Linked DNA regions of Saccharomyces cerevisiae S288C. The gene in region 3 interacts genetically with the main gene of each other region. Each region holds a gene or a part of one and is shown on either strand. Other genes may lie near its edges.

Region 1 (8,332 bases), on a different chromosome or scaffold from region 3:
ACACTATCAGACACTGCAGAGCAATAAATCAAGTAAAAGAAAATTTTTTTAGTATAATTCAGCTTCAAGTGAAGTGACTTCGAAATTGAAACTCCATTACTGTCTAATATAAAATTTGATGGAAATCGAAGTTAAAAAATCATCGGAGAATATAATCTAGCTAAACCAACAATATTTTTATTGTACAAATCTTCGTTTTACGTACCGCACCTGACCAAGTGGTTCGCAAATTTGCGAGTAATTTTACGTCTGTATGTTAAGGCTTGTCGGGATCTACCCCTCTTCTTGTGTTCCTCCTAAATTTCTATTAATTATATAAAGATTGGCATATGACAACGAGAGAAAATTTTATACAGAACAAGGTTACAGGTAAATTGTAACACATATTTGTTACAATAAGAGTAAAAAAAGTCTTTCCGCAACACGCTATACCTGATGGATGTTTTACTCGAATTAATAAAGTTATATAATTCAAATGGTGAGTCTCTTCTGTTTTAGCTAATTATGCACCTATTTTCTACGACTTTAAAAGTTTAAAAGATCCAAGTCGAGTTCTGCCTGAATTTGAAACTAATAACAAGCCTTTATTAGGTTTTGGGAAGGGTTTCTTGATTGCATTATACGTCTTAGAAGAGGATGAGGCCCAAGGTTTTGATTTTCTTGGAACGCGCAACCATCATCAGAAATAAAATAAAATTATTGGTTGACCTTTTTTACCTAAAGGAAAGTCTGAAAATGCTGTTGCAACAACGGCAGCGCCCTGCTTTAAGCAAGGCACGTGGTCCACCAAGAAAATAACTAAGAGGATGAATTCTCCTATTTTAAGCCAGGAAACTAGTCAGTAACATACGCCAAGGAAATGAAAGCATAGGATGCGGGCTGATTACCGAAGTCAAAGGTTCTAGTATATGATCGAGTTCTGTAAACAGTATCATGCTGTGGCATCCTGATGGTTACGAGCCTCGAGTAAAGGCTATAGAAGAAGAAATCTACGCTAACGAAGACAGGAAGGATGTTCCGGATAAGTTTAAATTTGATACTGTAACGAAAACTGGAATGGTCAAGCTTCGTGTTTTCAAAGACGATCTAATATTCAAATCACAACGATCTATAAATCTGTTTGCAAGTAGGAAGCATCCCTTCAAGTCATTTACGGCGGATGGAGAGGGCTTGCCGTTATTTGCCTTCCGCACTAAGAAGCCTTTTTTTGTTAGGCGAGATTATGTGGGTTTTCTTTTTTATCAATACGAGATATTGAAAAATGGGGACTTCCCTGAAGAGTCGGATTATGAGGTAAAAGGAGAGTGCGACGGTTTCACTCTGTTTAAAGTTCTTTTTTGCACTGTTAAGGTGAAGAAAACAAGCTATTATCGCAATAAGGAGAGAATATCCCACATACTAGAGCTCAACTTCGGAAAAAAGGAAGATTTTAGGATATTGACACTGGTTAGATGCTCTGAAATTAGATCAGTATATGTTGTAGAGGATAAAAAGGTTATTATGAAATGGGTTTTCACCTCAGAGAGTAAATTTAATTTGAATTCCTCACTGTTCATCATAAAGGCCGCAATTGGCTGTTTACCAGAGGTGGGTGATAGCATAGAGGACATACCTAAATTTGATTGGGACTCCTGCCCTACTATTGGATGTATGTGCAGAACTAAGGAGGCTCTTTTTCAACCTGAGTCTCGAAAAGATATGCATATATGCCCTCAATTATTTTTAGGGGAAACCGGACCGCCACATTATAATGAGAGTTCAGTTCCGTGGCTAACAAAAATGAATATATGCATTTCAGTGCTAATAAATTTCCTTGAATATACCGATTTCATGTCTTGGATGCAGGATAATTAGAAATTTCTATTTAACACTGCAGAAAACTGTGTTCATTTAAAGAAATTCTTGCGGGTTAATGCTATTATGATATTTTCTGTTGATTTGGTGATAAATTATATTATATGCTATATACTAATTCCTTTGGAAATAAAAGAAGGCCTTAAAATTACCCTGCGGAGGGGACTATTAAATAGAATCATTTATATGAATACTAAGGAGAGTTCAGTATCAAGATAACAACGAAAGTTTGAACTGCTAAAATTATTTTCAAGTATTGCTGACCGTTAAGAAATTTTCTGCTCCATTAATTCATTGAGGCGAAGACAAGCGCACTTTTACTCTTGTGTTTATAAAGCTAAATGACATTGTGGCTCACTTCAATAGCCGTACTCTTTGAACTAAAAAATAATTCTAAGACACTGAGTTTCACGTCAATTGAAAAAAAATATATAACACCAGCTTCATTACATGTTAGTGTGCCTTTAATTTGGCGTTAATACATTCTCCTTGACACATACTATACATTGATTCTGTGATGAGTACCGATATAGGAGGCCGATGTGCTGTTCTTCTAGACGAGTTTTTTGTAGCTAAATGACATAGGTGACTGCTTTAATTTCGTAAAGCACCAAACTTCAAAGGCTCTGTGTACACTCTACAGCCGTGACTGAGAAAAAGGCTAGGTACTTTAAAAATTTCCTACAAATATAGATCAGGGAGGGCAGTACTTAAAGAAGAAACTCCTTCCAAAGGGTCTGGAAATCATTATTAGGGCCGTCATTACGACTTAAGAGCACTTTGAAATCAGTACCCTCTGTTCAACGTGAACAAAAATTTTCGCCACACGACACTTTTCTGGATGGGCGTGATTGTATTAGCTGCCATGGTTCAGTAGTCTTCAATTCAGTGACATACTTTATTGTCATGAGACCACTCAACAGCAACAATATAAGAGCAGAGAGACATTCCAAGGGACAAGAAGATATAAGTTTTGACGTTCAGGAATCTTTTATCCAGTCTGTCTTTATTTGAATGTTTTATTAGACTTCAGAAGTATCCCGATATGTACAAGAATCTTTCTCAACGAGCTACTTTTCTCTTAATCTTGATTGTGTTTGTGATGCCACTTAACAATGCGGAATCTAACGAGTGTTTACAAATATTTTGTTCTCGGCGAAAAATTCAATACATTGCCTTCCTTTTCGGTGCATGATTGTACGGCTGAGAATGGAGAAATAGTACCGCCTAGATCTTTCGTTTTAATGGCTTCAAAGCAGAAGAGGAAAGATTTTTATTCTAAATGAAGTTAAAATTGATTGGCTGCACTACATAGAAATCAAAATTTGATATATATTATCTAATTACTTAACGTTTGACACTCCTTTATAACATCGAATACGTTGCCGAAAAAGGATCCCACACTAAATGCTATTATTACCAATAACATAGGTACAGCATCGAAGACATATATGAAATACTCATGAGAGATTATATAGCCATTGAATCCCTGAATAAATTCAACTATTCGGACAATTGAACGTAGTAGGATCAACATACTGCTTAATAATAGGGTAGCATTCACAAAGATCCACTTTCTGGAAATATCTTCGTAAAATAAGCATCTCCTTTTAACATTTACTGTGAATCTTATCTCATTGATAATGAAAAATCCAAAAAAAATTACCTGTACAAAAAGACCCGCAGTTATGAGTCCTGAACCAGTCTTCGTTGATCCTGCCTTAGACATTAGTCCGCCACCTGCAGCTTGTAAAAAGAAACTAAACACATCTCCCACAACAAAGAAAGTCGTACCAAAGCGTGCAGAAATCAAAATTAAAGATTGGCACCTCATAACATGTAATAACCTTCCAAAAATCATATAAATCGTCGCAGCTATTAGTGCTGGAGCGACTAATAAAAGAACAGATTGGATAATATATGGGGTCGTTCTTTCAGGATTGGAACTGGATAGAGCCCTCCCGATATACCCGACAGCTTCCATGATGCAGCCAGTGAAGAAAGGTATAAACGCAAAAACTGTGGGTGTGATTTTTAGTTGCTTGTATTCAGCATCCTCAAGACTATCGACCTTATCATCAGATGACTCAAATGGATTATTTTTCAATGCCTTAGAAGATTTTCTCGCAGCATATAAAGTTTGAACGGCAAAAATGACTGTCATTATAATGAAGAGTACGACAAATACGATTGCAGCCGCTTTACTTGGCGTATAGTGGTAAAGTACGAACCCCGAATCAGTTGTGGACATTTTGGAACGTTGATGGACAATAAAAGATTAAGTAGCTATGTAATTGGACACTATTAACCTACTATCCTGGACATTTTGAGGCAAGAGACTATACATCCCACAATTGATTCGGTAGGTGCTTTTATACTGATTCATTTGAGGTCTTGGCATTTGTTCAATTGAAGTACATTTAGTTGAAAAGTTGAGATTTATTTAGGATGAGCTTGCCGCGGCATGGGGAAAGAAACACTTCATCCTGTATGGAGAAAAACCACTTTGCCGCGGCACATCAAAACAGGGCTGAAACCTTCAGTATGCGCGATACCATTACACGACAATCGCATGGCTTAGTCATAATAGATCGAGGCGCTCATATACATGGCAGCCACAATATTTGAAGGTCGACAAATAAGGACAATATCAACGGTTAGGATACCGAAACTTGAATATGGCTGGTTTCTCAGGAACAGCCGATACTGTCCTGATCTTAACTTAAGGTGCGGTGAAGTAACCTGGATTCAACGCTGCATGAAAGACCTGATTAGGCTTATTTGATAATCCAACAAAAAAAGTGATTGGTTGGTTTGCTAGTATTCAAAAATAACTATTTTGGAGTACTTTGTTTGTTTGAAAGGCTGGGTAATAATTTTTTTGATGTGTGCTTTGAACAGTAAAAACTTTCTTCCTTTCTATAAGCTAGAAGCAAATCCAAATCTCATCGAATAAGCGCATTAGGTTAACGACATTATTGTTGTTTAAATTTTAAGCTTTTTAGCTTTTTATATTTTATTGAGATGGCAGCAAAAAGAGGATTAGCCAAACAAAAATCTAGGGTAACCAAGGCCTGTGATAGATGCCATAGGAAAAAGATTAAGTGCAACAGTAAGAAGCCATGTTTTGGGTGTATTGGGTCTCAATCAAAATGTACGTATAGAAATCAATTTCGTGAACCGATTGAGGCTTTTTTCAATTATACTGGTAGTCTCAGTAATGATTTGGATAATGCTAAGTGCAGCATAGCAAAATTGAAGGCACAGTTACCTCCAAGCGCACCGGCCTCTTTACAGAAAGGCCTAGCAAACATTTGCACTGAGCTTGAAAAAATACAACCTCAGCTTTACCTCAATCTGGACAGTAAGGAAATTAGCTCGTATGGTGGCCTGAAATCGATAGAAACAGAAATTATCGGGAAACAGTCAAAATCTTTGAATAGGTTCTCCAACGCTTTTGAAAGCAATACTGCACAAAATGTCAGTATGTACTTTGGGGTCTATTCACCGTTGCTATATTTTGCCTCTACGGGTATTAGCTGGATAACTAAAAAATTGATTTCATGTTCGAATGATAGGGAGACGAGAGAAACTATCTATTTATTTTTGAAGTTTCTTGACGCTAGCTCTGCTAGCCATGCTGGTCCTAAAGTAACTTCGATATCTCCTTTAGAGTATTATTCAAAGCTAAACGGACTTTCATGTGGGAACGACGTACTTATTCAACACATTATGTCAAATATATCGAATGAAATCAAAGGAAATACAAACATTAACCAAACAATCAAATTCAATAAACCAACAGACTGGTTTATGTACGGAGTACAATTGATGGAACAGCACCACAAGGCGTTGGATCGTAAAAGTTCCAAAAAATTACTTCCTTTGAAATATTTTCTTGAGCAAGATGAGTTGATTTTTTGTCTCTGTCTTGAATATTTTGAAAGATCCCTATTTTCGACAATGTACGACTTGACTATTTTAAAGGGCTTAGTCTCGTTGATGAAACACAGATATTGGATAGACGATCCTTTTGTGCTGGGAAGAATTATTTCCACGATGTCCAGGCGAAGTTTGGATGCTGGTTTGAATCGTTGGGAATATTATATTGGTCAGGATGAGGACACTGCCGAAGAATATCGTAAGTTATGGTGGGACTGCTACTGGTGGGATAGATGGTATTCATTGGTCACCGGTAAGCAGCCATTGATACCACATGAAATGACTTCGTGTCTCTTTCCCAAGGATGTGGTTGGATTAGGGGTAGATGATTCGATGGACTGTTTTACTTTAATAAACTTGGTGGAGCTCGACCCAAGTAAGTTTGATATTTGTATCTCTTTCGGCTATATTCTATTAACGAAAATTATTACAGCGGTATTCTCTGGTTTGCTTTATAATCGACACTTTACAGACTACAGATTATTTGCAACTCCTAACGCTAAAGACCTAAATGGAACCGCACGACAGCTTATGGTAGAGTTTTCAAAAATATGTAAAATTTTTCAGTGCATACAAGACAAACTAATCCCTTTCCTCAAACAATATTCTGAAAATAGTAATGTATTTGAACTATACACCCATTTCGGATTTGCAAAGGTTTGTTGTTTTCAGGGAATGGAGAGTTTAATTTTAAGGATACAAAATCTTCTACAAGAAAGAGAGAGAATTGAACTTGATTCCTGCGTAAAGGACATCAGGCTTCAAACCTTTGAAGCATCTGTAGATATTTTGACGGATGTTCTCAAGCACGAAGATACGTTCTATATTTTCCGTTGTTCGTGGTTCATATATGCCATCTTGATGAATATTACCTTGAATTTTATCGAGACCCCTAGAAGGAACTCGATATGTTATTTATCCTTGATGTGCCGCATGATAGCCTCATATAATGACTTATTTGTGAGCTCTGGCAATGTTAATTTCAAGGGCAACAACGCCTTCTCTAAAAAGTTGGAAAATGGAACAGCGGTTTCTTTCATCCTAACACGCATCTGCTGTCAGATGTACACACGTTCACAGAAAATGGCTAAGGAATCGCTGTTTTGTGAATTGAAAAAATATGGCCAGGCTTGCTCAGATGCTGGTCAAGCTGCGTTGGACATTGAATGTATCTGGTACAGGAATATTATAGGCGAACACAAAGAATCAAGCTTCCGTAAAGAAATTCTCAGCATTCTTGATAGGGAAATGGGTGATTTGGTGAATAATAGAGTTATTGGCGTACAGGGAAAAAATCAAGAAGGTGCTTGTTATGAGAAGTTGTCACCCAGCAGCACCAGTGTTTCAGTTGGCATGGACTTTTGTAGCCTCGAAAATTTTGTGACTGCAGAATCTCTACCAGACCTTCTCAATCTATTTTGGGAGGACACTGAATTTGGTATTACTAAAGAAAACCTCGGAGAGTAAAAACCAAGTATGCACCTAAACAATTGATCACTTTCAATTAGGAAATAAAATCCCTTGATTTAGACGAATACTGTAGAATGCAATAAAAGGTTTTGTGATTCTAATCTAGTCCCTTACGTTATGCACCGCTTTCAGGAAGGTTATGGGCTGTACCATGAAATCAAAGGTGGCTCATAACTAGTAAGTAAAAGTAAATGTCCTTTTTTTATGCAAGATCTAGAACGATTCGAGTATGGTGTTGATACCACTGTGGTAAGTCTTTCAAGCTACACGCAATTACACACACTCACAAATCTAGTTGTATTTACTCCTTTTATTGTTGCTAGTCTAATTATTCGTCCCACGATTTTATCGTTCTTTGAGTATTTCGGGTCTCAAAAGATTGCTAAATGAAATAACTCTTAAAAATTGCTTCACATAGTCTTGTTGTTACATTCACAATTCACAGCTTTCCGTTGCTCATCGCTTGATAGGAATATATTATGATAGGGATTATCCTGAAAGTTTCAGCAAAACGATAATTACTTCAGCTTTTCTTCGTCTATTTAACCTAGTTTTCCGTCATAAATCCGTTCTCTTAAAAGCACACCTACTCCACTTTCTGAAATAACATAGATATTGAATTTGACTTAGATTCATATATTAGAAAAATCGAATAGTTTCCTGTGCCTAGAAATTCTAAGGTGCCATTCCAGAGGATTTTTATGACAAAGATGAGATGTAAGAATCAACTTTTTTTAATATTTTATATCTTTCATCAAAGAAACATCACAATGTATATTACAAAGTGGAGAAGCATCCAAAATATAGCTGCAGTGAGAATTCATTGAACTGTATCAACTGGGTGGAAAATGTCACAGTCACTTATGGAATTCTATGATTTTATTCAATAGAAAACATTTAGTAAAGCTGGTAACCGACCTTTTTTTTTTACACATTTTTTTTTTTTTTGCTGATTATACCTTGCATTCTAACACCGGGTTCTGATGTTATCACCTACTTTGTATCTCGCATCATTCTTTATTTGGTAGACACGTCCCAAAATGGAGGATGCGCACTAACGAAAATG
Region 2 (8,754 bases), on a different chromosome or scaffold from region 3:
AGATTGGAGAAAGTGATCGGGAAAAGATGGTGATCTGTTATACACACAAAATATCGTGTATAAATATATTGAATAAATAGTTTCTAAAAAGGCATACGCAGATATTCTTGCGAAAGAGAAAAAAAAAAGAGCGAGGGGGACATTAGTACTGAAGGTCTCAATTCTTCTTTGTATTTTCTTTCGGAGTTGTCAGACAAAGCTTTCTCTTTCCCATAAATAAAGTGCATTCAAACATCGGCAGGTTTGTTTTTCCCAGTTGTTACGTATTTGTTTCCCGTTCCATTCATGATCTTAAACTGGGTTAACTGAAAAATCAACATGATTTTGTGAAAAGTAAAAGAGGGTAAGAAAGATAGATACCGCTGTCGTGGGACTATATTTTTTACAGTACCAAGTCTACTTGCTTCTCATAAAGTTGATAAGTTATAATTCATATAATTTCATTTGTCAAAAAAGATTTTAGTTACAAAACGATATCAAAGTTCAATCTTGTTGGGAAAAAGGAAAACATTATGAAGGGTTTCCGGTAATCACTGCGTATGCCACACTATTCCTATAGAATTGTCTTGATTGGGTGCTTATGCTGCGGAAAAATTATATTCTGCGCTTGCCTTTTATATTAAGCGTCACAACGCCCTTACCAAGATCGAGCGGATTAAGACAAGAGTGTATCTCAAGCGTCCGTATATGTTTAAGTTGAAAAGGATATTTAGTAAGAATAATTCTACCCTACAAACGATATTAGTAAAAAAAAAAATCAATAATAGAGTTATTGTACAAACATGTTCTGAAAATTGGAAGCATCACATCGTATGCTACTAGAGAAAATTTTTACTATCCTTTTTTCCACAAGCCCAGCCCTAGCCCGATCATCCTATTAATTGTCAGACCACCGAATGCTATCCCGCCACGGTTGATATAACGAAACTCTTTACTGCTTTGGGTCAAATATGCCTCTTTTCCGCATTTTTTCGGAGTAGTTCATTGCCGCATACATACCGCAACTTGGACGAGGATGTCCTCCTTCTCTTACTTTTTTATTCGTTTCCAATTTGTTTCTCGTACCGTTCAAGTTTCAAGCCTACAAGAAATGTACACGACATGGATGCGTCAGCCTGATTCAGATATGACAAGATTGTTCCTGCGCATATGTGAATATGAGCGCACGCAATACATTGAGATCTTATTTGGGTTTGTAAGTGCAAACTTAATTTACTTTGCTTCCTGCCGGTTTTGATGTGCACCTGGGAACTTAAATAGCCGCCAAAAGAAAAGCAATCAGAGCGGCGCGGCGCAGACAAAACCCGAAGAGTTTCCTGGGAACGGTAGAGGCCTTGGTAGTACCTTACTAACGCCGGAGAGGATGATTGATACGCATTGAAATCGTACAGAAAACTTGGGGCAAAGCGCTCTTACCCCAATATTCTCACCCAAACAGTGGCAATAAATAAAGAAAAGGTCATCACTTTTTTTCGTACTCTTATCCGTTTTATTTTATTTTATTCTTTTTTTTTGAGTGGAGAATCATTAAGAATAAAGGGTACCTTTTGTAAGCACGATGAACGAAGTTACTTGTTCCATAACTGGTGACAACCCAATTCATAAGATCAACAATGGATTAGGCTTGAAATGGAATAATCTGGGTAAATTCTCTGATTTTCAGACTAACGATAGCGCCGCGCGAGATGCTAGAACAATAGATTACATCTTTACCAATTGTCAAACCGGCAGCAGTATTGGTAAGATAGATTTTCGGGCCGCACTACCGGCAGATAAATCTCAACATAGTGGTGTCAGCGAAAAAGAATTTTCAAGACTTGAGAACCAGTGGTCAAAGGAATTCTCTTGTTTCCCCAAGAATAAAAATGCTGATGTGACCAAGCCCAGTAGAAACAAACATGAGAAACGCTCCGCTAATTTGCACAATAGGTACTTTGCACAATATTATAGTACGGCATATCAGCAAAATCGTATATATCCTTGTCGAATATCTTACAATGAACACTCATCTGTTTCTAATGGCTGGGAATTTCAGTTCAAATCAATCGAAAATCAGTTACTAAATGAGCTAAAGATAGAAAACAATGTAGAAGAAAAAACTGTTGGTTATGAATATGTGGCAGAATACGAAGAAACAATTGATTTCATGCATATGCTGTCATCCGTACCACAAACATATCAATTCCTAAAATCAAACATCTACATAACGGAACGGGACCCATATAAAATAGGATGTGTACTAATGGACAACGGTTCCAATTTGAACGAAGTAGTAATGGCCTTTGAAGCAGCCATTTCACAAGATCCAAGCCATATAAATGCATGGTTGAAGTTAGGTATAGTTAATTTTGAAAATGAAAGCGAAAGCAATGGAGAGCTTGCTTTGCGAAATTGCTTAAATTTGGATCCAAATAATACAATTGCATTGGAAAACTTAGCAATTCACCATATAAATCAACAAAATGAATCAGAGTCATTGAAACTTTTTCACAAATGGATTCTTTCAAAATTTTCGAAGGTTTTCCAACCTTCTGCGGGGGAAAACAAAGATAGCATTAATAAAATTCCGAAAAAGGCCCATTTGGCGCATATTCTAGAATCCCTGTTGAATATGGGTATAGAAAAAAAAGATCAGTATGATATATATTCAGTATTATCAATCTTATATTATTCGGATCAGAAAATAAAGCAATCTCAGAAATGCTTAGAGTTTTTACTACTGGAAAAGCCCAATAATGGAACAATATGGAATAGATATGGTGCTATTTTGGCCAATACTAAGTCGTATCACTCTGCGATAAATGCGTACAATAAATGCAAACAACTAAGACCGAATTTTACAAGGGTTCGTTATAATTTAGCGATCGCCTACATGAATAAGGGTGACTATGTAAAAGCAAGCAAAATGCTAATCGAAGTTATACTGTTACGAAGTAAAGGATATGAACACAACAAAGCAAAAATGCAAAACAAATTTATGCAAAATTTAAAAAATGCTCTCATCGCTTCAAAAAATTTTGATTCACTTGATCTAATAAATGGTTCTCATAATACAGAATCGTTAATATCAACCTTAAAAGCTATTTATAACAAAATGGATTAGGTTTTAGTTAATTTTTTTGCTATATAGTGCATTCAAAATAAAAAAAATTAAAGCTGAAACAAACCAAATATGCTATTGGACGTTCGAAAAGCTAATTGCGTAAAGGAACACTAAACACAGCAAGCTTATGCTAGTTCTTCTCAAAAATATAAGTTCCTCTTGCAAGAATATGAAGGTAATTTCACTTTATCGCGCAAGTGCATATTTCTGAGTTTACTATGTGCTTCGTCTGAAACCTCTCATTATCTACTTAATATCGGCTATTCATCTCACGTATTCACGTAATATTTGATTTTTGTACTACTATTTCTCTCTGTCATACGTGCATGATACATTTCCTTGTTCAAATTAAAAGAGTCACCGTCAGCCTCTCAAAACAAAGAAAAAAGATACCCGGCTGAACATGAGTATCAATCATGAAATATATTATATACTTGTATTTGAGCATCGTTCAGTAGCAATCAAGCTCATCATCGTAGTGATTGTTCTCCTTCAGTTTTTTTTAGCACGAAGTCGGCAAATTGATAGGACATGGGCCCATACTAATAGAAAGGAACGGTTCAGAGAAATGACAGCTATCGGGAATACTGATGATGCACTTGATACTAGTACAGCCGCAAGTAAAGAAAATGGAAAAGGTAGACTCAGGGTTCAAAAAGCTTGTGAACTTTGCAAGAAGAGAAAGGTTAAATGCGACGGTAACAATCCTTGTCTGAACTGCTCTAAACATCAAAAAGAATGCCGTTATGATTTCAAAGCTACAAACCGTAAAAGAAGAAGACGACAGGTCGCATCAGCTGTTCGGGACGTTAGTAAGACATATGCAGAAACCAGTGAGTCTTTTCCTAGGGACTTGTTAAGTAAATCAAATATTATCATAAATGCCCCCTCAGATGGTGTATCTTCGTCTGCTAGCAACTCTCCCAATCCAAATTCACATTATCATCATATATCATCCACTTTACCCTTCATGAGCGGTAGGCCAAACCATACATTCCATTCCGGAAGCAACTTAAATGGAGAAAATAACAATAACAGTTTTCCGGAGGATCACATGGCTAAATTACTTCTGCAATTGAGTTCAAAATTGGGGAATACGACCAAGGAATCGTCAATTAGAACAACTAGAACCAATGCTAGTGATGTGAATGCAAACCCGACAGTGGTCAACATGAAAAATAGTCAGGAAGACTGTGACACGAATCACAGGTCTGCAATATGTGACTCTGCAGAGGCTCTTCATAATAACAACATCAATTCTAAAGAGAATAAGATAATCAACTCTCAAATAACTAACACTGTTAATGATCACTTTGAATCACCCTGGCAGACATTTTCTTTAGATAAGTATAGGTTTCACCGACGCTACCAAAATATTCTGCCCTATTACCTTGGTGTATCTATTTTAAAGGATCTATCTCCGCAGACAATAGAGTACGCGAAGTTGAAAAGGCCAAGAGTTCAAAACTATGGTTGGAACTTGTCAGGAGGCCATTACTTAAAGTATAAGGGTGACTTTAGAAGCCAAGAAAAAAATATAAGGCATGAGTCTAAATTTTTCGACTTTGATGACCCTGTTCACTTATCCTTAATCAATAAGTTACTAAGGTATTATTTTGATGAGATCAATCCTGTTTTCAGTATCATTCACGAAGCGACATTTTGGCAGCAATATAACAATAAATTTCTACGGCAAGGTAAACAAAATAATTCATCTGCGAATCTATTCACTTCCATGCTTTATCTAATTTTGTCTACTACACTAAGATTCAGAGAAGGGCATCTAGATGGTCAGAAAGGGCAAGGAACCTACAGTAACACATCCTTAAATATCACATTCGAGGAAAAATCTATTTTGATCAAAAAACCCTCCATAGAGGAAAATTTATTCAAATACGCTTATTTAATAATCAACACGCTGACCTTTGAGTGGGAATCATTCGAACTAATACAATCGTGGCTTTTGATAACCTTCTATTTCAGAACCTGTTACAGACAGACGGCGTGCTGGAACGCGTTAAGTCAAGCGGTGAACATGTGTAATGGGATGAGTCTATATTTAAACAAATTTCCTGAGATCCATTCCACTTATGATGAATCAAAAGCATGGCATTGTTTCTGGTGTTGTTTTATAATGGATAAGTTGATAAGTTTTCAAATGGGTCGATTCTACCAACTATCATTACCCGCGAGCGAGATGTGCGAACAGATGAATCTAGTGAAGTCAAAGAAATTTTTACAAGAAGAAGATGATTGGTTTCACGAAGAGACTTTTCAAATGCTTGATTTGTCCATAATAGTGACACAGTTTTTAAAAAGAGACGCACAGGATTTAAATTTGAACGAGACCGTGCAATTGCGCAGCCAACTTGGTCAATGGTATGACACCTTTATAGTTGGAAGTCAAACCAATGCGTACGACGACAATTATCGTTACTTCTATCAAGTTCAACCATTCATGACATACCTGGATATAAGGCTGACTTTCGAAGTAAGACAATTATTTTGTCTAATCGCCCCCTCATCTACCGCAAATAATAAATCCCTAGAATATGTCGTCGATACTGAATTGTTAATTTCTCATTGTCAAATGGCTATTGAAAATTTGGCTGAAATTACGAGAAGTAATCTTTTCTTTGTTCCGTGGTGGTTAAACCTTTCTCAACTATTCACGGTAAATTTAATATGTATTATCTACCTGCACGCAGGGATTGCCGTAACTCAAAATAAAGCTATCATGCAAAGCTGCCAAGAAATATGGCGAACCTTAGAGTGCTCTAAGCCAAAAAATCGGCCTTCAATGCTTCCTGAGTGCTTGTGGTGTTTGAAAATGCTGAATCATATGTTCTGCATACGACTGAGAGATTCTGCTTTGCAATTGGAAGCTACTCTCGGAACTGATCATGGTGATGACACCCCTAATAGAAATAAGTTTGAGCAGTTCAAGAAAGTTGGCGATAATGATGCGGATGTTGAAGTTGATGCTGGTGAAAGAGAAGAAAATGCTGATGAAAGACAAGAAAATCCACATAACAATAGCAAAAGAGTACCATTAGCTACTAGGTCTCATAATACCACTAACTTCGACGGTTCAATCGCAATTTCTCCGGAAAGTGCAGTAGCAAATCTAGGTACTGATACTGGATTGCCCTCAGATGTTCTTGATACTGTCAGTAAAATAGGGAACTCTCCTAATGTGTTTGATGATGATTTATTTTCCAATTTATTATGGTTTGACCAAAATTTTGCATAAGGATTCTTTTTCTATTCCATAAAACCATTTTATGGACACGTTTACCTACATATTATTATATTGTATATAAGATGTTGAAAAAATTGAGTCAACCTCACCTTACCACATGTTGGTCCGTTGCTATGACAAACTCTCGTTTTACAAGAAGGAGGCTCAAATTTCGGGTCACCCACCCATATACGGATGTCACGCTATGAGATCTTTTAAACAATAGACAATTTTTGGTATCCTAAAGATATAAAAGAGGAGTTTTTTTAAACCATGGTAACTATTTTCAAATTTGCTCTGCTGCAGTTTTTTATTTCTGTTTTTCTTTTTTTGTTCCCAACAAGAAGTGAGTTAATAAAGGCAAAAACAGTGGTCGTGTGAGAATGAATACAGTTTCACCAGCCAAAAAAAAGGTTATTATAATTGGTGCCGGTATTGCTGGGCTTAAAGCTGCATCTACGCTACACCAAAACGGTATTCAAGATTGTCTTGTTCTTGAGGCCAGAGATCGGGTCGGTGGTAGGTTGCAAACTGTCACAGGCTATCAAGGTCGGAAATATGATATAGGTGCTAGCTGGCACCATGATACGTTGACAAACCCTTTATTTTTGGAAGAGGCTCAACTGAGTTTGAATGATGGGAGAACGAGGTTTGTTTTTGATGACGATAATTTTATTTATATCGACGAAGAACGTGGAAGGGTAGACCATGACAAGGAACTGCTTCTTGAAATTGTGGACAATGAAATGAGCAAATTCGCAGAGTTAGAATTCCATCAACACTTAGGAGTTTCAGATTGCTCCTTTTTTCAATTAGTAATGAAATACTTACTACAAAGACGCCAATTTCTCACAAATGACCAAATAAGATATTTGCCACAACTCTGTCGATATCTGGAATTGTGGCACGGCTTAGATTGGAAGCTTTTGAGTGCCAAGGATACATACTTCGGTCACCAAGGAAGGAACGCCTTTGCTTTGAACTATGATTCTGTGGTTCAAAGAATTGCTCAAAGCTTTCCTCAAAATTGGTTAAAGCTAAGTTGTGAAGTGAAATCAATTACACGAGAACCTTCAAAAAATGTGACAGTGAACTGTGAAGATGGTACTGTGTACAATGCTGATTATGTTATTATTACAGTACCTCAAAGTGTATTGAATTTGTCTGTACAACCTGAAAAAAATTTACGGGGAAGAATAGAATTTCAACCACCCTTGAAACCAGTGATTCAAGATGCTTTTGACAAGATCCATTTTGGAGCGCTAGGTAAAGTAATTTTTGAGTTTGAAGAATGTTGTTGGTCGAACGAAAGTTCAAAAATTGTAACTTTGGCTAACTCTACCAATGAATTTGTCGAAATAGTACGTAATGCGGAAAATTTAGATGAATTAGACTCTATGCTAGAAAGGGAAGATTCTCAAAAGCATACGAGTGTTACTTGTTGGAGCCAGCCTTTATTTTTCGTAAATTTGTCAAAAAGCACAGGAGTAGCAAGCTTTATGATGTTGATGCAGGCACCGCTTACAAATCACATAGAATCCATTAGAGAAGATAAAGAGCGTCTTTTTAGTTTTTTCCAACCTGTGCTGAACAAGATTATGAAGTGTCTAGATTCTGAGGATGTCATCGACGGAATGAGGCCGATAGAAAACATTGCAAACGCTAATAAACCAGTCTTAAGAAACATCATCGTTAGCAACTGGACACGCGATCCTTACTCACGCGGTGCTTATTCGGCCTGTTTTCCAGGAGATGATCCAGTTGATATGGTTGTTGCAATGTCTAATGGTCAAGACTCCCGCATAAGATTTGCAGGCGAACATACTATCATGGACGGCGCCGGCTGTGCCTATGGTGCTTGGGAAAGCGGAAGACGGGAGGCGACTCGAATCTCTGACTTACTGAAATAGAATCTATTTTTTCGAAATTACTTACACTTTTGACGGCTAGAAAAGGATATACATACATATTAAAATTTTTAGTAACACTCTGTGCTTTTTCAAAAATTTGAGGTACACCTAATTCTCCCACTTGTTGCTTATACCAAGTTTGAACAATTTTAATGTTAAGCACAATAGATTGGAATATTATCATATGGTGGTTCAGAGAGTAGTAGGGTGCATTTTCATTCCTGTTGCCTCAATGTGTTTTCTATCTGTATTTACGTGATTTTATGAAGTGGTGGCATCGCTTAGATGTGGTGCATAATTAGAGACTAATTTTTGAAACCACGCATGAATGTCAAGTAATTCTAACTGAGCATCTGTCATCAATGGCACTTGCAACTTCAAAAAATCCCACCAATATTTTGACGGCACCAATTTACCTTTGAATTTTATTTGAGTTTTCCTTGTTAATCTTGCATTCAGAATTCCATAGAAAAAGAATTTTTCAAATGGAATTATATTTG
Region 3 (7,999 bases):
GATGCCATAGGCAAGAAGGGAGACTCTCACTCCGAGATGGGCAGCTTGATCGCCCAGGAATTGAATTGTATTGTGGTGGAGAAAGGTCAGTCAGATAAGATATTCTCACCCGATAGTGAAAAAGACATGTTGACGAACAGCGAAGAGGGCAGCAACAAGAGGGTAGGAGGCCAAGGTGATACTTTGACAGGAGCTATATCATGCATGCTTGCATTTAGTCGTGCAATGTATGACTTTAAGATTTGTGAGCAGGAAGAAAAGGGAGAATCTTCTAACGATAAACCCTTGAAAAACTGGGTAGACTACGCTATGTTGAGTTGCTACGCAGGCTGCACAATTACACGAGAATGCTCCCGCCTAGGATTTAAGGCTAAGGGACGTGCAATGCAGACGACAGATCTAAATGACCGTGTCGGTGAAGTGTTCGCCAAACTTTTCGGTTAACACATGCAGTGATGCACGCGCGATGGTGCTAAGTTACATATATATATATATATATATATATATATATATATAGCCATAGTGATGTCTAAGTAACCTTTATGGTATATTTCTTAATGTGGAAAGATACTAGCGCGCGCACCCACACACAAGCTTCGTCTTTTCTTGAAGAAAAGAGGAAGCTCGCTAAATGGGATTCCACTTTCCGTTCCCTGCCAGCTGATGGAAAAAGGTTAGTGGAACGATGAAGAATAAAAAGAGAGATCCACTGAGGTGAAATTTCAGCTGACAGCGAGTTTCATGATCGTGATGAACAATGGTAACGAGTTGTGGCTGTTGCCAGGGAGGGTGGTTCTCAACTTTTAATGTATGGCCAAATCGCTACTTGGGTTTGTTATATAACAAAGAAGAAATAATGAACTGATTCTCTTCCTCCTTCTTGTCCTTTCTTAATTCTGTTGTAATTACCTTCCTTTGTAATTTTTTTTGTAATTATTCTTCTTAATAATCCAAACAAACACACATATTACAATAATGCCAAAGTTAGTTTTAGTTAGACACGGTCAATCCGAATGGAACGAAAAGAACTTATTCACCGGTTGGGTTGATGTTAAATTGTCTGCCAAGGGTCAACAAGAAGCCGCTAGAGCCGGTGAATTGTTGAAGGAAAAGAAGGTCTACCCAGACGTCTTGTACACTTCCAAGTTGTCCAGAGCTATCCAAACTGCTAACATTGCTTTGGAAAAGGCTGACAGATTATGGATTCCAGTCAACAGATCCTGGAGATTGAACGAAAGACATTACGGTGACTTACAAGGTAAGGACAAGGCTGAAACTTTGAAGAAGTTCGGTGAAGAAAAATTCAACACCTACAGAAGATCCTTCGATGTTCCACCTCCCCCAATCGACGCTTCTTCTCCATTCTCTCAAAAGGGTGATGAAAGATACAAGTACGTTGACCCAAATGTCTTGCCAGAAACTGAATCTTTGGCTTTGGTCATTGACAGATTGTTGCCATACTGGCAAGATGTCATTGCCAAGGACTTGTTGAGTGGTAAGACCGTCATGATCGCCGCTCACGGTAACTCCTTGAGAGGTTTGGTTAAGCACTTGGAAGGTATCTCTGATGCTGACATTGCTAAGTTGAACATCCCAACTGGTATTCCATTGGTCTTCGAATTGGACGAAAACTTGAAGCCATCTAAGCCATCTTACTACTTGGACCCAGAAGCTGCCGCTGCTGGTGCCGCTGCTGTTGCCAACCAAGGTAAGAAATAAGTCTGAAGAATGAATGATTTGATGATTTCTTTTTCCCTCCATTTTTCTTACTGAATATATCAATGATATAGACTTGTATAGTTTATTATTTCAAATTAAGTAGCTATATATAGTCAAGATAACGTTTGTTTGACACGATTACATTATTCGTCGACATCTTTTTTCAGCCTGTCGTGGTAGCAATTTGAGGAGTATTATTAATTGAATAGGTTCATTTTGCGCTCGCATAAACAGTTTTCGTCAGGGACAGTATGTTGGAATGAGTGGTAATTAATGGTGACATGACATGTTATAGCAATAACCTTGATGTTTACATCGTAGTTTAATGTACACCCCGCGAATTCGTTCAAGTAGGAGTGCACCAATTGCAAAGGGAAAAGCTGAATGGGCAGTTCGAATAGTACTTAAGATTAGTTAAAAGTCCATGATTGAACATTGATGTGGTAGTTACATGCATGATGAATATGCGCCATGAGAGGTTGGTGAATTTTGAGATAATTGTTGGGATTCCAATGTTGATAAAGGCTGTTATATTATGTATACAGAATATACTGGAAGTGTCTCCTCGAGGATATAGGCATCCCCAAAAAGGAATCGATATTTCTACATAATAATATCACGATTGTTCCTCATTCCATTTCATATGTTTCATTATCCTATTACATTATTGATCCTTGTATTTCAGCTTTCTCTAACTTCGATGACAGTTTCTCATACCTTATGTCATCATGTCCACATTTGACACCATATAAGATAATATACTGGTAGTATAACCACTAGTTGATGACGATAGTTGATTTTTATTCCAACACGCGGACATATTAAATGTACGGTGGCTAGCAGGCCTCCTATTCACCATATTTAATCTTCATTAGTTGTACCTTTGACCATTGACAATCAACACAATAATTATGAACAAAATTTCCTGGTACAATGATTATGGTAAAGAAGAAAAAAAACGCTGCTTGCTATAACCAAATCAGAAAATATAATACTATAATAAAAATACATCAAACTACTTATCTTCAATTATTTTCCCGCATAATTAGATCATATAACTGCTGGAACATCAAACAAATATTAGCTCGCGTGGCGTAATGGCAACGCGTCTGACTTCTAATCAGAAGATTATGGGTTCGACCCCCATCGTGAGTGTTTTTTACACCAGCAGTCAAAAAGAGTTACTTTTGATATTGCATGTGTCGATGATGCAACTATGTCTTTCTCTGCGTACGGAATCTAGAGCTATGTTAAATGCTTGTTTTTAAACTATCTATCGTTCATCTAGTTATAAATTATAATTATATTACAGTTTTTCATCTATCCATTCGCGCCATTGGGAAATTTTTCTTTTATTAATACTGCCCTCAAAAGCAACTACAGATGCTTCCAAATTTGCAAATTTGAACCCGTCGGTAGACTGTAAAACGTCTAGTGTATTCTCTGCATAATCTTCTTCGTTAATTTTTCTTTCAACCTCGTTCAACGATTTTTTCCTTCTTTCAATAACCTTTTGAATTTCGCTTTCTAAAGCATCCTTGATCTTTGATGGTGGTCTTGCAGTGAACAATTCGCTTTTATTGCATGCAATTAAGATATCAATACCATTTTCGCAACTAGATTCAGTAATTGATAATATGTCTACCAAGAACTCAGCTGTTGTTGTTAATTTCTTAGGATCAACTGTTGAGTCTACCATAAATATCAACCCTTTAACAAATTTGGCTCTTGTTTTCAAATAATCTGAGAGTTTATAACGCAACTTGACATGGCCTGGGAAGTCCACTAACGTGACGCCGGAACCATCGTAATCCGCTGCTGATAACGGTTCTTGAGAAACAACAGTTGGTCTTACTGAATCTGTGGTTAGCAGCGTAAGCAAGCTCGTTTTTCCAGAATTTTGAGGACCTGCAATGATAATAGATGGTTGATAACTTTTTTGCTTGATCCCTGTCTTGGAGGATGCCTTTTGCACTGCTATTAGCGCTATGGTTGTCCCTATCACCAATAAACAGGCAATAATAAGTGTATTACTAAGCATTCTGATCCCGTGTGCTATTATGCTAATAAACAGCAGTGGTAAAGTAATAATTAATTGATCAATACAGACACTTAAAGCCTAACTATTTCTTTTCTTCTCATCTTTTTCAAGTTTAATGATGGTTCATATTTGTTTTCCATATCTCTTATTTTTTTCCGCCACTAGATGAAAAAAGTGAATGGTGAAAAATTAAGAACAGTATTGCAGCAAAACCTCTGACACTTTAGGACATAAGGTGGCCCGTCTAGTTTAGGTAAAATGATGAAAAGATGCTTCAGTATCCTACCACAAAATGTCCGGTTCAGCTCAAAGTTCACAAGTTTAAACTTACCAAAGTTAGATTTGGCGGATTTTATAGACTCAAATAAAAGAGGAATCAATGTTCTTCCGTCGTACAGAGATGAAACCGCTAGCACCACTCAAGCAACTAATTCTAAAGAGCTCAGATTACTTTCCAAAACACTTCAGGGCCAGTCGTACCGGGACCAATTAGAGTTGAATCCTGATGTAAGCAAAGCAATCAACAATAATATTATGGCTGTACATATTCCCAATAATCTTAGAAGGGTTGCTACAAATTATTACAAAGAGATTCAGGAACCAAATTCATTACATCGTCCCTGTAGAACCAAAATGGAAGTGGATGCACATATAGCGTCCATTTTTTTACAAAATTATGGTTCTATTTTCCAAAGTCTGAAAGAATTACAAAAAAGGGTAGGTCCTGATAATTTTAAACCTCAAAGAATCCTTGATGTTGGATATGGCCCAGCGACTGGTATAGTTGCCTTGAATGATATTTTAGGCCCAAATTATAGACCTGATCTAAAAGATGCCGTTATTTTAGGGAATGCGGAGATGCAAGAAAGAGCCAAAATCATTTTGAGCAGACAACTTAACGAGGTGGTCGATACTGTAGAAGAAAATGTGTCTACAGAGAAAGAGCAGGAAACAGATAGACGGAACAAAAACTTTCAAGAGGATGAACATATTGGAGAAGTGATGACAAAAAAGATAAACATTATGACTAACTTGCGGTCTTCTATTCCCGCATCTAAGGAATATGACCTCATAATATTAACGCATCAACTTCTTCATGACGGGAATCAATTTCCAATTCAGGTGGATGAAAATATTGAGCACTACTTAAATATTCTAGCGCCTGGAGGCCACATTGTTATTATTGAACGAGGCAACCCAATGGGATTCGAGATTATAGCCAGGGCAAGGCAAATTACGCTTAGACCTGAAAACTTTCCAGATGAATTCGGAAAAATACCAAGACCTTGGTCTAGGGGAGTAACAGTCAGAGGCAAAAAAGATGCTGAATTAGGAAACATTTCCAGTAATTATTTTCTGAAGGTGATTGCACCTTGTCCACATCAAAGGAAATGTCCCTTACAGGTTGGAAATCCTAACTTTTATACTCATAAAGAGGGTAAAGACTTAAAGTTCTGCAATTTTCAAAAAAGCATCAAGCGTCCCAAATTCAGTATAGAGTTAAAGAAGGGTAAACTTCTCGCTACTTCATGGGATGGTTCTCAAGGAAATGCGTCGAGGCTAAAAGGAACGGGAAGAAGAAATGGTCGTGACTATGAAATTTTAAACTACTCCTATTTAATATTCGAGAGATCACATAAGGACGAAAATACGTTGAAAGAAATTAAGAAATTACGGAATGAAAATGTGAACGGCAAATATGACATTGGATCACTGGGTGATGACACGCAAAATTCCTGGCCTAGAATTATCAATGATCCTGTCAAACGTAAAGGTCATGTTATGATGGATTTATGTGCGCCATCAGGAGAACTTGAAAAATGGACGGTTTCGCGGTCGTTTTCTAAACAAATATACCACGATGCCAGAAAGAGTAAGAAAGGTGATTTATGGGCCTCAGCGGCCAAAACACAGATTAAAGGGCTGGGAGACTTGAATGTTAAGAAGTTCCACAAGCTAGAAAAGGAGAGAATCAAGCAGTTGAAAAAGGAAGAACGTCAAAAAGCTAGAAAGGCTATGGAATCTTATAATGAATTGGAGGACTCTCTTCAATTTGATGATCATCAGTTCTCAAACTTTGAGGTAATGAAGAAATTGTCCACTTTTCACGGCAACGATTTTTTACAACATGTAAATAGAAAATAGGAAATTGTAAGTAACTGGAAATAAAGTAATAATATTAATATATTCAATACTTTAATATTCTACATACGTGAATATGATATATATATAGTACAGTTTGTTGCAGCGTTTCTAAAAAGCCAATAAAGATGACAACTGAGTGTATATTATATATGATAAAACCTACCCTGCTGGTTCCATAATTGAATCACTTTATTAATGCTCTTCTTTTGAAGTAAATTTCGTTTCATCTGTCTAGTAATGAAATTACTTTCTTCTGAAAGATGTACCCTCAGAAAGCTTTGCCTTACCACCAGTTGGGGTGCACAAAATTGTTGAGCAGGATTCGCAGGTAACTGCAGTTTGGGCGTGTGAGAAAACTGTAGTGATGTTCAAACAACCTGGGCACTTAACGTCTAGGAAGTACGATCTTGGACCTTGGACTAATGTCTTTAATTTGTGCTTTCTTGCTTCAGAAGCTGCAGTTGGGTGCAATAAATCTTGAACTAAAACCTGTTGTAGACGAATAAGAAATAAATCTAACTGTTAGTAAACTTCCTTTTTTCTCCTCATCTCGGTGCAGAATAGAAAAATAACAATAGCTTGAGTTGCTGGGAATGAAGTTCGCCATCATCAGAATTTTATATTCCCCTACAATGAACTGTAAGCTCATACGTCCATCCTGAATCTTATCCACTATATGTAGCAACCGCTTGAAATATTTCAAAAGTCTTTCTTCATAGTTCTTGCCTCTCTTGGTGCAAAATTTTCCACCACATGTATTCTTTTCTTTTTGCGACTTATCTATATGTATTGTTCTATTCACTGGTCCAGTTGCGCTGCATTTATTGGATACTAACATACCATTTTGGGATATCTATCTTTGCTTTGTTGGAAGGTGTTACGATGAAGTTGCTTGTTATCGAAATTAGACTCCGCTTATACAGAGATACCAAGTTACTGATACTTTACGAAATTTAGCCGATCCTAAAATTCTTCCCACATCGGAGGAACACAGAAATTTTTTCAAAAACAAAATATGCTGTTATGTACAGATTTATTTCCAGTGTGCACGGGTTGAAATAAATGAATACCAAAATTTTAAGCCGTACTTTTTTGTTGATTTATGTATGTTTGCAACCACTGCAAGCTAAGCCTATCAGAAGGCCAAGCTTAGAAGAAGTATTTGTCACATATAGATACTTGACTATATAAAAAGGCAAAATGGCTAGAAAAGAGATTTTTTCTTAATAGTAACCATTTTCCTTCAAATACTTGTTGACGACATCACGGTCTCTGTTAACCCACTGCGCTTTCGAAGTAATAGTGTCCAGTGATTGAGCCAAACTTTGATCGAAACCTTTCGTGGATTTAGTGGCAAAGAATTTCTTAATCTCATCTATTTTTTGCATTGATGTAAAGCCAGAGGTACCTAATGTGACGACGGAGCCTAGCATTGAAAGACCAGGAGGTAGTCTCTTTACGAGTTCGTCCCAGTTCTTTTTAACCCAATTCCACAAAGCCTCTACACCTTCTTGATGAGCTCTCATTCCTTGCATTGGAATATAAATGTCTTGGTTTAAGACAGTGCCATCAAACAAATATCCTAAGGTTCTTTCTAATAATTTAGGTTCTTTAAATCTGCCTAAAGATCTTAATGCGGCTAATTTTTCATCGTTAGAGATTGGATCTAAGTAGATTTTGTAAACTTTTTCATAGTTTTCTGCACCACCAACTCTTGCCACAGTGTTAAATACAATTGGTTTAATCAATGCTGGGATGGCTTCCTTATTACCGCTGCAATAATCAGTAAACATTTTTAGAGCAGCTTTTTCAACGTCTGCGTCCCTTGCGGCACAAGCAGCACCAAACATGGTCACTTTCAAACGTTGAGTGGAGAACGAATCAGAAGATTTGAATTCCCAACCCAAGTGGTGTGTCATACCGCTTATTAGTTGCTTCGTGAAGTTATCAAGCGCATCCTGGGTTTCCTTTGGTTCGAATAACCAAGTAGATTTCATTGAAGATATGCTGTTGATTATTTGGTCCCAGACGACAAATGACTTTTCATTATTCCATTTGGAGACTAAGTTCAAAAAATTAGTAGTTGAAGTGTAG
Region 4 (5,186 bases), on a different chromosome or scaffold from region 3:
CTGTTATTGCCAAAGCCCAAATTGACGTCGCTAAACAGGAGGGCTGTTTCGCGGTCTCTCATGGTTGTACCGGTAAAGGTAATGATCAAATCAGATTCGAATTGTCATTTTACGCTCTGAAGCCAGACGTTAAGTGTATTACACCATGGAGAATGCCTGAATTTTTCGAAAGATTTGCTGGCAGAAAGGATTTGTTAGACTATGCTGCACAAAAGGGTATTCCCGTCGCCCAAACCAAGGCCAAGCCATGGTCTACTGACGAAAACCAAGCCCACATTTCTTACGAGGCAGGTATCTTGGAAGACCCAGATACCACCCCACCAAAGGACATGTGGAAATTGATCGTCGATCCAATGGATGCTCCGGACCAACCACAAGATTTGACCATTGACTTTGAACGTGGTCTTCCAGTCAAGTTGACCTACACCGACAACAAGACTTCCAAGGAAGTTTCCGTTACCAAGCCTTTGGATGTTTTCTTGGCCGCATCCAACTTAGCAAGGGCCAACGGTGTTGGTAGAATCGATATTGTAGAAGATCGTTACATTAACTTGAAATCCAGAGGTTGTTACGAACAGGCTCCATTGACTGTTTTGAGAAAAGCTCATGTTGATTTGGAAGGTTTGACTTTAGACAAAGAAGTCCGTCAATTGAGAGACTCATTCGTCACACCAAACTACTCCAGATTGATATATAACGGTTCCTACTTCACCCCAGAGTGTGAGTACATCAGATCTATGATCCAACCATCCCAAAATAGCGTTAACGGTACTGTCAGGGTTAGACTGTATAAGGGTAACGTCATCATTCTGGGCAGATCTACAAAGACTGAAAAGTTGTACGATCCGACAGAATCCTCTATGGATGAGTTGACCGGTTTCTTACCTACCGATACCACCGGTTTCATTGCCATCCAGGCCATTAGAATTAAAAAATACGGTGAATCCAAAAAAACCAAAGGTGAAGAGTTGACTTTGTAAGTCCGCTAGTTCATCGCCTCAAGATAGATAACGATCTCTTCCTCCACCTCCTATTTCTGCACACTCTTGTGATGTAAATACATATGTAGACATATGTAAGCTTTTGTATAAATAGTTTAAGAAAGCATCATACCAATTTTGAATAGAAGAAAAAATAGCTAAGAGCATAGCCGCTCGGAATAAGTTGACGTAGCGAAAAATCCCAATATCGTAAAGGAAAAATACCTTCATGAGAACAGAACATTGAAAAGAAGAAAAAAAAAACTGAGCACTGCACCATTAAGTCCTCAAAGATGAGCCACTTTTTCGCCGATCATGATGCTCCTCTGAGCATGCTTTCTGTTAAAACAGAATACTTTCCTCAATTGACTGATAAGGAACAAAAATATGCGCATTTCATGTCAAAGGCCTCCCATGCGGGTTCAAGGGTTGTAATGAGACAAGTTTCTCATGAGAGTGAGCCAATTTTTGACCTAATCCTTGCCATTCATTCAAAGCTAAACGGCAAGTACCCAGAGGACGATATTACGCAGAAGCAGCAAACGGGTTTGTATTTGGAATACGTTTCTCAATTCTTATCTAATTTGGGTAATTTCAAATCGTTTGGTGACACTAAGTTTATTCCTCGTTGTGAGGTAAAATTCTTCAAACAGCTTTTGGAGCTGGCCAAGATTAATCCGTGTTCTTCTCCGCTCACTTTATCTCCTGTTGACGTTAACCATGAATTCACATCTCATCATCTTTTTTCCACCATCAATGAGCTAATTGATATTGGTATTTACCATGTGGAAGAGAAGGCGGCTCTCTTAGGGTTTCCCTCTCAAGGTTATACTTCAGCCTATTATCTGGGTTTACCTGTGACACCTGAAGATATGGCTCTTTTGAAAGAGCAGTTGTTTGCTGAACTTGCCATCTTGCCTGAAAACACAAGAATCAACAAAGTTGGTGAAAACAGTTTCCAAATCTGGGTTGCCTCTGAGAATGTGAAAAACCAGATAACAGAAACCTACCCCAGTGGACAGATCACATTATCCAATGCTGTAACCAAAGTAGAATTCATTTTTGGTGATCATTCACGTGAAATGCGTTTAGTAGCATCGTATTTAAAGGAAGCTCAAAAATTCGCGGCTAATGATACTCAAAAAGCAATGCTTCAGGAATACATCAACCACTTTGTCACTGGCTCTTCTCAAGCACATAAAGAAGCACAAAAACTTTGGGTCAAAGATATATCTCCCGTCATTGAAACAAATATCGGTTTTATCGAAACATATAGAGAACCCTCGGGCATAATTGGAGAATTTGAATCGTTGGTTGCAATTCAAAACAAAGAACGTACTGCTAAATTTTCCAGCTTGGTTAACAACGCAGAAGAATTCATTTCCTTACTACCATGGTCTAAAGATTACGAAAAACCGATTTTCAATCCACCAGATTTCACCTCTCTAGAAGTATTAACGTTTACTGGATCGGGTATACCAGCGGGCATCAATATTCCAAACTATGATGATGTTCGGCTTAAAATTGGGTTCAAGAATGTTTCTTTGGGGAATATCTTAAGCGCGGCTGCCAAAAGCTCATCCAAGCATCCGCCAAGTTTTATATCGCAAGAAGATCGCCCAATTTTTGAAAAATATCAAAGTGATTCTTTTGAAGTCCAAGTAGGCATCCATGAATTATTAGGACATGGTTCAGGAAAGTTGTTGACAGAATTTACAGACGGCTTTAATTTTGATAAGGAAAACCCTCCTTTAGGTTTGGATGGGAAACCGGTGAGCACATACTACAAAGTTGGTGAAACTTGGGGTTCCAAATTTGGACAGTTAGCTGGCCCATTTGAAGAATGTCGTGCGGAAGTAATTGCCATGTTTTTGCTTACTAATAAGAAGATTCTTGATATTTTTGGTTTCCATGATGTCGAATCTCAAGATAAAGTGATCTACGCTGGATATCTACAAATGGCCCGTGCGGGTCTCCTAGCTTTAGAATACTGGAATCCAAAAACTGGTAAGTGGGGACAACCACACATGCAAGCAAGATTTTCTATCATGAAAACATTTATGAAGCACTCTACAGATAAGAATTTCTTAAAGTTGGAGATGAACAGCACGAATGATGATTTTGCCATCAAGTTGGATAAATCTCTCATTAAAACAGCGGGACATGAATGTGTGAAAGACTATTTAAAGCATTTGCATGTTTACAAATGTTCAGGCGATGTGGAACAGGGAAGTAAGTACTTTATTGATAGATCAACGGTGACACCGGATTTGGCGTCTTTAAGAGACATCGTCTTATCTAAGAGATTGCCAAGGAGACAATTCATACAATCGAATTCTTATATTGACGACAATAACAAGGTAACCCTGAAAGAATATGATGAAACCCCACAGGGTATGCTCCAATCTTTCCTTGATAGAGAATTATGATGTCCTTAAGAGCACACGTTTTAATTAGCAACCTTTGCTGTTGCTTTTGTTCAAGCTATTAGATTATGTAAACAGATATATATTATGTAAGTGTGACAGGATACGACAGCACTAACTGTCAGCGAATTTTGATTTGTTACTTTTGCTAGTTTTGTGTGACTTTCCTTTGTTTTTTAACTTTTTTTTTCAGATTTGTATTATGAGATGATAACAATGCGAGATTTCATTGACAAGTTCGATAAAACAATAGAAGCTTCCATTTTATACATATGTGATAAAACAACCTGCAATCGAGGATTTACAATAAAAGTCTCTTTGAGAGGATTGAGAAATAGTGCAAAAAGATCTACTAATAACGAATAGTTATGACTGTTACTGACACTTTTAAACTGTTTATTTTAAGGCATGGTCAAAGTGAATTAAACTCAGAAAACATATTCTGCGGATGGATTGATGCTCAATTAACGGAAAAAGGGAAGTCTCAGGCCCGCCACTCTGCAAAATTGATCAAGCAGTTTTGCGATTCTAACAATATCTCTTTGCCTCAGATTGGCTATACTTCAAGGTTGATTCGAACTCAGCAGACCATGGACGTTATTCTCGAAGAGTTGGGACTAAAACACACCAATTATGTAATTACTACGAATACAAACATTAAGGAGGAGCTGCAGGACACAAGATTTGAAGGAAGTATGCCTGTGTTGCAAACCTGGAGGTTAAATGAGCGTCATTACGGCGCATGGCAAGGACAAAGAAAGCCAGATATCTTGAAAGAATACGGTAAGGAAAAATACATGTATATCAGAAGAGATTACAACGGAAAACCCCCTAAAGTCAACCTAAACCTGGAAATGGTCCAAGAGGAAAATGATCAGGGGTCCTCCACAGGCTATGATTTTAAGGAGCCCAATAGACACTTAAAATACGGCCCCGAAGAGAAGGCTAATGAGCGTCTGCCAGAAAGTGAGTCTCTTTGTGAAGTGGTCGTCAGATTGAAACCATTTTTAAATAATGTTGTTCTGTCTACCGCCAACAAAATCAGTCAAGAATCGTGTGTTATAGTTGGGCATGGCAGCTCTGTAAGATCTCTGCTGAAAGTATTGGAAGGTATCTCAGATGAAGACATCAAAGATGTCGATATTCCCAACGGCATTCCGCTAGTTATAGAGTTGGATAGAGACAATTACTCTTTTGTGAGGAAATTTTACTTGGATCCAGAATCAGCTAAAGTTAATGCTCAAATGGTTCGTGATGAGGGTTTCGAAAAGAATCCATGAATAGTTTTTAAAAATAAAAAATTAGCGCCATTTTTTTCATGGTTTCCTTTTATATTTCCTTCTTTCTTTATTGATAGAATAATGAGTAACGAAAAGCAGCTAAATAAACGTGTTTAAATTTCTATAAGAAGTTTTTATAGATTGTATAACAAAGAAACTTTTTTCTTATTATTATTTTTTTGTTTTTATAATTCATTATATGTAGGTATATCTTTATCTATTGTGCATAAGCCATCTTATCTACTCGTATTCTAGCGCAGCGGTCCAAAAATTTGTTTCTAATTCACAAACTTCAGCGTAGATTGTTACTAAAGTGTCAAGTTGCTCTGGAGGGTATGTTTCTAAGATGTGGTTCAAAAGTTTTTCACCTTCATCCATGGCTTCACGATACCATGAAGATGCGTAAGTTTCACACCATTCGTGGTAAACGGACCCTTCAGGTGCGGTGACTTTACCCTTCATTTTAGTTAAAGCTTCACCATAACCCATCAAACAAGGAG

Evidence for each region.
Region 1: mutations in SRP102 (region 3) and PUG1 together harm fitness less than expected from each alone (positive genetic interaction), as found in Saccharomyces cerevisiae (one large-scale study listed by BioGRID).
Region 2: mutations in SRP102 (region 3) and FMS1 together harm fitness more than expected from each alone (negative genetic interaction), as found in Saccharomyces cerevisiae (one large-scale study listed by BioGRID).
Region 4: mutations in SRP102 (region 3) and GPM3 together harm fitness less than expected from each alone (positive genetic interaction), as found in Saccharomyces cerevisiae (one large-scale study listed by BioGRID).

Annotation. Positions count from the first base shown.
Region 1 is NC_001137.3:555,227-563,558, reverse strand, and holds PUG1 (Pug1p), read right to left. Parts: upstream 4,106-8,332; coding exon 3,194-4,105; downstream 1-3,193. Other genes in the region: YER186C (uncharacterized protein), read left to right, coding at 934-1,854; TOG1 (Tog1p), read left to right, coding at 4,879-7,263. UniProt on the Saccharomyces cerevisiae protein: Involved in inducible protoporphyrin IX influx and heme efflux.
Region 2 is NC_001145.3:308,650-317,403, forward strand, and holds FMS1 (polyamine oxidase), read left to right. Parts: upstream 1-6,727; coding exon 6,728-8,254; downstream 8,255-8,754. Other genes in the region: SPO20 (Spo20p), read left to right, coding at 1-33; PEX9 (Pex9p), read left to right, coding at 1,559-3,103; STB4 (Stb4p), read left to right, coding at 3,507-6,356; MAC1 (Mac1p), read right to left, coding at 8,516-8,754. UniProt on the Saccharomyces cerevisiae protein: Involved in the production of beta-alanine, a precursor of pantothenic acid. Multicopy suppressor of fenpropimorph resistance.
Region 3 is NC_001143.9:157,362-165,360, reverse strand, and holds SRP102 (Signal recognition particle receptor subunit beta), read right to left. Parts: upstream 3,761-7,999; coding exon 3,026-3,760; downstream 1-3,025. Other genes in the region: NNR2 (NADHX dehydratase), read left to right, coding at 1-444; phosphoglycerate mutase GPM1, read left to right, coding at 976-1,719; tRNA methyltransferase RSM22, read left to right, coding at 4,019-5,905; 40S ribosomal protein eS27 RPS27A, read right to left, coding at 6,149-6,394, 6,746-6,748; APE2 (metallo-aminopeptidase), read right to left, coding at 7,129-7,999. UniProt on the Saccharomyces cerevisiae protein: Component of the signal recognition particle (SRP) complex receptor (SR). Ensures, in conjunction with the SRP complex, the correct targeting of the nascent secretory proteins to the endoplasmic reticulum membrane system.
Region 4 is NC_001147.6:219,494-224,679, forward strand, and holds GPM3 (phosphoglycerate mutase family protein GPM3), read left to right. Parts: upstream 1-3,774; coding exon 3,775-4,686; downstream 4,687-5,186. Other genes in the region: ARG1 (argininosuccinate synthase), read left to right, coding at 1-980; YOL057W (dipeptidyl-peptidase III), read left to right, coding at 1,274-3,409; THI20 (trifunctional hydroxymethylpyrimidine kinase/phosphomethylpyrimidine kinase/thiaminase), read right to left, coding at 4,927-5,186. UniProt on the Saccharomyces cerevisiae protein: Could be non-functional.